Linked DNA regions of Neurospora crassa OR74A. The protein of the gene in region 2 interacts with the protein of the main gene of each other region in a biochemical or structural test. Links are inferred from orthologs where the notes say so. Each region holds a gene or a part of one and is shown on either strand. Other genes may lie near its edges. The genes, in order: NCU03137 and pkc.

The links.
Region 1: of the proteins of pkc (region 2) and NCU03137, one has a biochemical effect on the other in vitro, tested with the Saccharomyces cerevisiae proteins (3 studies listed by BioGRID). The link is inferred for Neurospora crassa OR74A from reciprocal best matches to the Saccharomyces cerevisiae genes PKC1 and PAH1.

Annotation. Positions count from the first base shown.
Region 1 is NC_026501.1:4,687,255-4,691,715, reverse strand, and holds the start of NCU03137 (nuclear elongation and deformation protein 1), read right to left. Parts: upstream 2,928-4,461; 5' UTR 2,272-2,927; coding exon 1,818-2,271; intron 1,753-1,817; coding exon 1-1,752. UniProt on the Saccharomyces cerevisiae protein: Mg(2+)-dependent phosphatidate (PA) phosphatase which catalyzes the dephosphorylation of PA to yield diacylglycerol. Required for de novo lipid synthesis and formation of lipid droplets.
Region 2 is NC_026504.1:1,589,337-1,593,735, reverse strand, and holds the start of pkc (protein kinase C-like protein), read right to left. Parts: upstream 2,932-4,399; 5' UTR 2,286-2,931; coding exon 1,850-2,285; intron 1,776-1,849; coding exon 1,512-1,775; intron 1,444-1,511; coding exon 469-1,443; intron 416-468; coding exon 1-415. UniProt on the Saccharomyces cerevisiae protein: Required for cell growth and for the G2->M transition of the cell division cycle. Mediates a protein kinase cascade; it activates BCK1 which itself activates MKK1/MKK2.

The DNA.
Region 1 (4,461 bases), on a different chromosome or scaffold from region 2:
CATCTGCATCCACATACACGCTGTCCAGCATAGCCGAATCAACCATATGCTCGGGCGCAGCCTCCTCATCATATTCTCCCTCCTCTTCCTCACCATCCTCTCCATCATCCTCGCCATCATCCTCTGCATCATAATCCCCATCCTCACTTGCCACGCTTCCTTCCTCGTAATCATCCACCGAGTTTCTCGAGATGTAGCTGTCCACAAGACCGTCGCCAACTTCTTCCTCGTCATCCTCCTCGTACTCACTTTCATGATCATCGACAACAGCCGGAGCAGATGTCTTTCGGCCACCGCTGCGCTCGTCCTCGGTGTCACTGGCAGAGAACTCGTCAAGATCCAAAGGCTGGTCTCGCCAATACTTGAAATCCGTATAATCCTCGCCACCGCCTTTGATGAGCGTGGTGACAGGTGGGAAGTAATGGTCGACAACCTCGGTCATGTTGACGTAACTCAGCTTGAGTTTGTTGAGACTCAGCAAATCGAGTGACACCTCTGCATTAGAGTTGATGGTGAAGATACGGTTACGGGGCACGTCGACCGTGCGATACGAGATTTGGTCCGTGAAACGGTTGCCGAACCCGGCGTAAAACGGTGTGCGATCGGGCCCGTAGAGGTTGCGGATGTCACGAAGCGTGGACATCTTGAAGATATGTGGTTTGCGGAGATAGATCTCGCGACGGAGAGCCGCCATGGTTCGGTCGGGTGAGAGAATGGTAGGTCCGCGTGGGAGACGGTACCCGTCTTGAACGATACCTGCGAGGTAAGTTCGTGTAGTGTCGGCCTGGCCGACAGACCGACTCGTCAGATACATTATGTTGTACCCGTTGGCTACAATATCAGTATACAGCTTGGCTACACCAGCATGCGTCCAGTCGCGCCCGATCATGTTCAGCACGTGGCCAAGCGCATCAGACTTTGTAATGGTTCCATCAATATCCGAGATGACCACGGGTACCTCGTGCTTCCATAAAAACATGTAAGCCTGGCAGGTAGCTTTGTTCACGGTGAAGCTCATTGAGTTCTCGCCGGGCTTCAGATTCAAGGCCTTCAACTGGTCGCTAGTCAACCTCAAGGTCTTTGCGTAGTTCCGATTGGGATCGCCCGCTGCCGAACTGCCGGGAGAGCTTGGGGGTGTCTGCAGGGTCATCTGGCCGACATCAGAGTCAGCTCTCCTGTGGATCGGTAGAGTCGTGGCGGCTGAGGTATCGCTAGCATCGCTCTGATACCCAGGGTCAGAAGCCGCATCAATGTTGCCCATGTGAGATGCAGAGCGTAGGGGGTCCATCGTCCTCTTCATGGCGGCCTCCTTCGCCTCGATGCTGCTGTAGATCCAAAGGTTTCCATGCTCGTCAACGCCAAAAAGTGCGCCGATGTCGTAGTTGCCATCAAGCTCCTCCGTGAGAATCTTGCGCGCAAGGATCTCAGCCCGGAAGGCGTCTTCCTCATTGTTTTTGAACGCAGTCATATCTAACATGAGGTCTCCGGTCTCGCTGATGTGGTTAGGGATATTGGCGGCGGCGAGCTCTCGGGAGAGGTTCATTGCCCTTTGAAGAGCTTCGGGTGCTGTAAGCGGCGGCGGGCTGCGGGATCTTTCGGTGTGGCTATCGCCTTCTTCTGAACCTTCGTGGGTGCTGCCATCGCTTGGCATTCTTCGCGCTGACTGCCGCAGAAGGCCATCGCTATGTGGGCGAAACGGAGACCATTCACCCTTGATAGGATCTGGTGATACGGAACGAGGTGTGAGCAACCCTTATAACCCATGCTTGTCAGTATATGTCGATCATGGCGGCGTGGAAGCTGGACACAGCGCTTACCGTCTCGTGCTAGTAGAGCAGTGGGAGGAGGCCTGTGGTTGAAGCTCGAAGAACGGGTTTTGCCTTCTACCGAGTTCAGATCGAGTGATTCAGGTTCTTGTAGAGGCCCTGACTGGTCGGCATTGAGCGGGGGGCTAGAGGCGGGCGACACGATGGGCGACGTCTGCATGCTCTGAGGGATGGTGTCTGTAGTTTCGAAGACGAAGAAGGCCTCGCCTCCCTCGCCCAGCTTCATGGCATAGTCCTGCTTGACGCCATTGACCCTGAATTCGACCTTTTTTTCGGATGGGCGCAACAGCGAGAACTTGCCAAAACGCACGTGAAAGGGAGAGCATGCAAGGGTGCCATCTTCCTGCTCAACGACTATCACGTCGATGGCACCGCTGAGGGTCGCAGGGTTGATGGAGTTCCAGGCGGTAGAGACAGAGTCGCCGAGACTCCTGACGTACTGCATGGTAGGCAATCGCAACTCGTTCTGTCGTCGAGAAGGATGTGTCCCTCTTGATGGTCAAAGGGGAAAGGGAGGGGGTATTTGTTGGTTATGTCGGTATATGGGGGGGCAGTCAAATGGCAAGGCTACATGCGGTCTGGACGGTTATGTAATGTCGACCGCAATCTCGATTCTCGACTTCGAGTAGGCGACCGGTAGGCGACCGGTAGGGGTTCTCTAGTGTGTTGGGCGAGGTCGGGAAGGCCGGATGAACGCCCGATATGCGTAGGGAGATATTAGGCTCTGACCACCCGGCCTCAATTGCTCTGTCGTCTCGAATGGATGGTTACTCAACGTGGTGTGCGTGAGTGAATCCGACTCGTTCACTTCCCGTCTGGTGGTGCGAGTATGCCGGGAGAAAAGTATTGAGGAATGCGCCGTGTTGGGGGACTTTGCCCAGTGAATGCGGATCTGATGACGAACGTCTGCCGCGGTTCAAGCAGTGAAAGACAAGGAAGGTAGCAACCCAAGTGGGATGCTGGGCTTGGGGAGTGGATTGATTATGCGCAGTACGGTAAAACACTGTGTGAAAAGTCCGAAGGGGGCGTTCAAACCCTTTCTTCAGAATCATATGCTTCGAACTAAGGAACCAAAATCTGCACGACAATTGAAGAGCTCGTGTTGTAGAAACTTTGTGTTTTTTTGGGGCATGGCGAACGGATCGCGATCCGCCGAGTAGAACTAAAAGGGAAGGAACTAAGGAACCGGCTAGGTTGTTCGTTGTGCAGTCCAACCTATACTGGTACGAAAGTTAGCTCGAGACCTCGGGTCAACCTCCCCGTGGGTTTTCAAGCGGCGATTATGCTTCTTCCGAGCTAAATTACACCGTATTGAATTTTATGGATGCCGTTTGGATCTATATCCAGCCATTCATTTAGTCCTTAACAGGTTGGAGACATCTCGGAAGACATTTCATTCAGTGTTCTACGAGTGAGTGCCTAGGTACCAAGTTAACAACAAACCAGTAGAACTACCAGACAATACGTAGGTAGGTATCCACCTCTACATACCCGGTGAGGCGGAATGAGAAACGGGATCATCCCCAACGCCCAACCTTCCAGAATCACGAGGGCGGTTCCCTTCTCAACAATCAGATCTAATTCTGTCTTGATGAGTTCGGCCTCTTGTCAGGGCAGCAGACAGGCACAAGACTGCATTTGCACCGGCTGTTCCCCATCATCAACCCACGCGCACTTTACCGACTTGGTGCAAGTCTCTAGCGATACCCTGTAAGACGGCAATATAGTCATTTACCAGCCTGGTACCTCGGCGGTCTGCAACGAGCTAACACGGCTGGCCAATCCAACCGCACAAATTGGTGTCATAAGCGGTCACGGGGATGTTTGTTATGCTGGACTACCAGGTACCCTTCAAGTTCCCCTGATGTCCTGCTGACTGACACTGACACCGCGAGTTTGAAAATGGAACTTTTTCGTATTCTCACCTTGTCAGTCTCGTTTGACTGACGTTTATTAAGTGATCCAACGAGCCGTCAACAAGCGGTTGTCGTTGTGAAAAAAAAAAGAAGCAGTCGCTCGCTGAGTGTCCATTGTCTGTTCCCGGCGGTATTGCAGCCGTCTACTCTGAAGGTAGCTGGGTTGAGATATGCCGTGAACGTCAACTCTCGCTGTGTATCCCGGGTTTCTATCGGCTTACGGGTACACCTGGTGACACCAAACTGTGCCCAAGGGGCGAGACAAGATACATACACTATCTACAAAGGTGCGAGGCCTCTGGGGATACCACGGCTTATCCAGCGCCTTTTTTCTTCATCCCGCATACAGTACAAGGCAGAGCCTTACCCCAGCTGCCTGGAAGACGTGTAGTACCGTAAGGGGTTATGGACGGCAATCTTAGCCTGAGCGTATTGCCCGGTGCTGAGGATCAGTACGTCCTCAGTCCTTGGGGGTCGGTGGTGATATTTGTTGGGAAATCCGGAGGCGTAACGGATCGATTTGATGAGTAGAGCCCTATCCCCAAGCAAAAATGGTGTGATGCTTTATAGTTAGTTGCCTTCCAGCTAAAGGCAGGCTACAACATATGTATAAAGTAAGTAAGCATAGTGTTTTGAGAGGCACCTTTCACGGCCAGATCATCTTCTCAATGGGATTTAGTGAAGATGGCAGGCTGATCCGGAGATCCGTCCGAGGCAAC
Region 2 (4,399 bases):
CCACCAAAGTCGGGTATCGAACCGGCTTGCGAAGGCTGAGAGCTATGCTTTGGTGCCATAGCCGCAGCCGCAGCCGCCGAGGCGGTTGTTGAGCTGGTAGAGGTCCTGTCGGGGCCGCCTGGCCTGGGCGTTGTCTGGCTGTACATAAGCTTGGCAGCCTCAGTTGCCTCGGGCGAAGCGATTGACGTATAAGCAGTCGAACCGCTATACGTCGATGCCTGAGCGATCGACCCGGACGAGATGGAAGTTTTGCTCCCCGGCCTAAGGGTACGCTCACTCATCGAGGACGCCTTATCCTTATGAGTCTTCTTCTGCGTTCGCATACCCTCCAAGATCTGGTTGGCGACAGCCATAGACATGCCACAGAAGTCAGGAACAAGATGCACGCATTGCGCGTGGGCTGTAAGAGCACATTCTGTCATAATTGTCAGCATATGGGGCTCCAAAACAGGGGCGAACTCGACATACCTGAACACTTCCTCGAGTTCTTCTTGGATCCAATTGGTAGCATGTAACCGCAGTGGCAGCACCAGTTGGCAGTAAGGTTGGAGAAAGGAATGAAGCGATGGGGGATGCGGTGATTGATCTTTTCCTCGTCAGGATCAGTCTCGGCATTACTCTTGCTGATGCACTTGGTAACAACGCTGGTGTAGCACTTGGTGTGGCAGGTGTACTTGCAATCCTCGCACTGCATACCAGCGGAGTACTTGAGGAAATCGCCGCATAGCGCACAGCGCATAATGTTGTAGAACTGCTTCTGGACAAACTTGTGTCCATACATCTCGTGAACTTCCTCCTTGCGCTGGCGGACAGCACCCTTGCGACCCAGCCTGTCCATGCCCTGAGGACGAGCCCCCTTGATGAAGTTAAAACTGAGGTGGATCTGGCCATAAGGCTCCAGGTTGAACCAACCGTCTACAGGCTGTGAAACAACTTGGGATGGCGGAGGCGCCTGGGGTGGGATCATGGTGTTTTGCTCCTGTGATCCAGGGGATGTTGGCGGTGCCGCAAACTGAGGACTCTGGGCGCCCATTGGGAATTGCGGCGGAGGAGCTCTGGAGCCAACGCGGTCCGCCGAAACCCAACCTGCGGACGTCATTTCGGCCTCGATCTTCTTTCGGCGAAGTTCCTCGACGATGTCCGAGATTCTGACCCAGAGCATGGCGATAGGCACGGGATGCTCGGCGGGCTTATCATAAACCGTAAACTCGATTTCGTTCGTCTTATCGACCGGGAAAGTGTGGAATTCGGCTTCCCACTTGTCGTTTCGCGAAGGCTTTGTGCGCGCAACAACTATATCTTCGGCCTTAACAGCGATGAATGTTTCGGGGGAGCGAGCGAAACGACCGAGGGGCGCATGGTCGACATCCTTTACAGCGAGAATGCGAATAGAAAGAGTACCGCTCAGGGGTTTCCTAAGGGCTGGCAGGTTGATGCTGTCGTCTATAGTCACATTCAAAGTTAGTAAAAGGAGTGCTGGTGAAAGCAGCATGTGGGGGAAGGAATTCTACCATCTGGACCATCAACATCAATGTCGATGTGCAACTCTTCATATCTCTTGAGTGCCTGCTTCAAGAGGACAATCTTTTGTTTACTTTCGACACGCTTGGCGGCAGCGTCAAGCTTGCTCTTCTTATCACCTTCCATCTGATAGAGCTGTACCATCTTCTCAATGCCCTTTAGGTACTGTTCTTCCACGTTGAGCTTGAACTGGATTTGGGACAACATCAGCTGGATGCGAGGTCCAAGATGTGGGGTATCGAACTTGATTAGATCTGCAGTTCCCTCAACGTCAGTCACACAGAATATGTCTAAAGGGGGACTGGTCCAAGGAAGATGTCCAACTTACCGAGCCTTGTATAATTAGGACGCGCCCGTGGAACATTAGAGTCAGGAGGACCACCGGGATAAGGAGCAGAGGCGGGCATCAGAGGACCGCTGCCCTGACTCTGGTGAGAGCTGTGGCCGCGTACGTCCTCCTTGGGGGGAGGAGAGGGGGCGCCGTAGCCCTCGAAGTCATCAACGGACTGTCGGTGGGAGCCGGACATTGGGCTGGCACCAAGCGACATGTTGTCGACGCCATGGCCGAGTCTCCTCATCTGCAGTTCGCGCAGCTTCTCCTCGAAGAACTCGAGATTCCTCCTCCCTTCGCGCATCTGGGTGTCGAGCTTGGAGCGGACCTGCTCATTGTTTGTCTGCTGGCGCATGGCCTGCGCAGCATTGATCAGAGCCTTTTCGCGCTCGATCTTCTTGGAGATGTCGTGGACCTTGTCTTCGTCGTTCATGGTGGCGGTATTGGGCCCGGCGGACCGATGGCGACGGTGGGAGATGGATTACTTTGGAGAGGATGAAAGGTAAAGATGCTCCTGGCAATACTAATGTCCGACGGTGACGGTGTCGGAGTCGGTGTCGGCAGTGGGAGAGCGGGGGAGGGGGGGGAGGGAGAGAGGGAGGACGACGGGATTTGATCCGGACGACTAAAATGCTGCTGGCATGCCAGTATGACATGCAACGGATGCGTCGTGGTGGTTGTTGATGGACGGTCAAGTTGAGCACTTCCCGGGTGGAAGGCGAGGCGAGCCAGGAAGGCAACTTGGCAGCGAGGACGGATAAGGAGGTCCAGCCAGGAGGGATGGATGGAGGTCGAGGGTACCTCTAGGTGCTATGGACACTTTATAAGGCAGACACTGATTGGAGTGCTACGCTGCTGGACCTAGACGTCGGGTAGGTAGAGGTAGGTAGGTAGGTAATGGAGGAGATAGTGGCGGCGGGGCAGCAATTAGCATTAACAGAGAGAAAAGGCGGGTTTTGCCTTTTTCGACGGGACTGAACGAGGAGGCTTCAATGTGCAAGATGGAAAGGCTCAAGGTGGCAGCAGATTAGCAGGTACTGCAGAGAGAGGTATGATGCTAACGATGGCGGGGTTTTGTGTGTTTCGCATAGGTTTGGCGGCGGCGGCCCTTGTCGATTCGACGAGCCAAACAGCCAGTGGGCATCCAGACGAGAGACGACGATGCCTGGTACTGCACGCTGAGCGGTCGAAGTACGCACAGGCAGTTCGGGGCAAAGGCGGGCAGGTCACTTCCTTGTTAGCAACGTCCACTTTTCCCCTTGAAGAGGCGGGGATCGCGTGGTTTTGGTCCAAGTCCAACACTTCAATTTGTCGACTGGACTTCCGGTTCCCAGTCAGGTACCTCGCCCGCTAGGTGTCTTTCATTCTTTAGTATATCCATCATCACGAGAACAATGAAATCTAATACACCTAGGGATATACGAGAACCGCACATACTAAGCGGGAAATCTCGAGGCCAACAGTCCCCGTTTGTTCTTTGAATTTAGGCGCGACGAGCCCATTCCATGCAGTGTTCTTTACCACCCCATCATCCAAAGGGGGGTGGTTCTTGGGAACTAACAAAAATCTACGATAGCCTCGTCTTGGCATCAGATGGTTCCGAATCGGCGCATTTTCAAACAGTCAACAACACTAACAGCAGCGACCCTCTTGGAATGGAACCCTTTTGTTTGCATATCACGCACAGCTCACACAGACAGACTGTTGGGCAGCCACAGGCAATGACTACCCGAACAGAAGATGGGCACCTCCACACATCGATACCTATACGACACCGTCACGACGGGAGTGGATGGCCTGGTCTGCCTGGTGCGCTGATACCGAACCGTAGGACTGTTGAAATGGTGGTGCAGGGCGCTGGTAGGACTTCCCTTCCGCACTTGGGCTTGGGACATGGGATTGGAAGCCCGGAGACCGAGGGGTGTCAGTGGGCGCAGTATCGAAACGGGTGCGTGCACTTGAGTTCAGTTGGTGGCGCACCTTGAACCGCTTGAGTTTGGAGGGCTGTGATTGGGCATGCCGAATCACACTTTGGGGACTTGGATCACGCAGTCGACTTTCTTTCACTCGTCCTAGTGAAGGAACATGCTGTCAACAGTTCACCCTCGAAAAGTTTGTTAACATGGCACTTTCAAGATGGCTAGAGGTAGGCGCCAATCCTGCTTATTGCTCGCTATAAGTACAGTCAAATTTTGGTGCGAGACATATGTATGGGACACCATCAATTGTTGTTCATAACCTGACTCTAGCTCGGTTTGGACCAATAGAACCGCCTGAAAATCATGTCCTCTTTCTGCCTTGTCAGAAGACGTTGTAAGTTTCGCACTAACAAATCTCAAAGGTTGGTCTGTGTATAAAGACCTCACATGTTAACCGCCTGACTTTTGAGAACACCATCGCCCGAAAAGTCCTGATGTGCAAGTATTTAGGCAATGATGACGGCGACTTGAGACAGAGGAGACAAACCCCATTTGGAGTCTCGACAGGAAAGGCGGTCACGGTGTGCCCATCCATGTCTTAGGATGCATACTACCTACACTACACTGA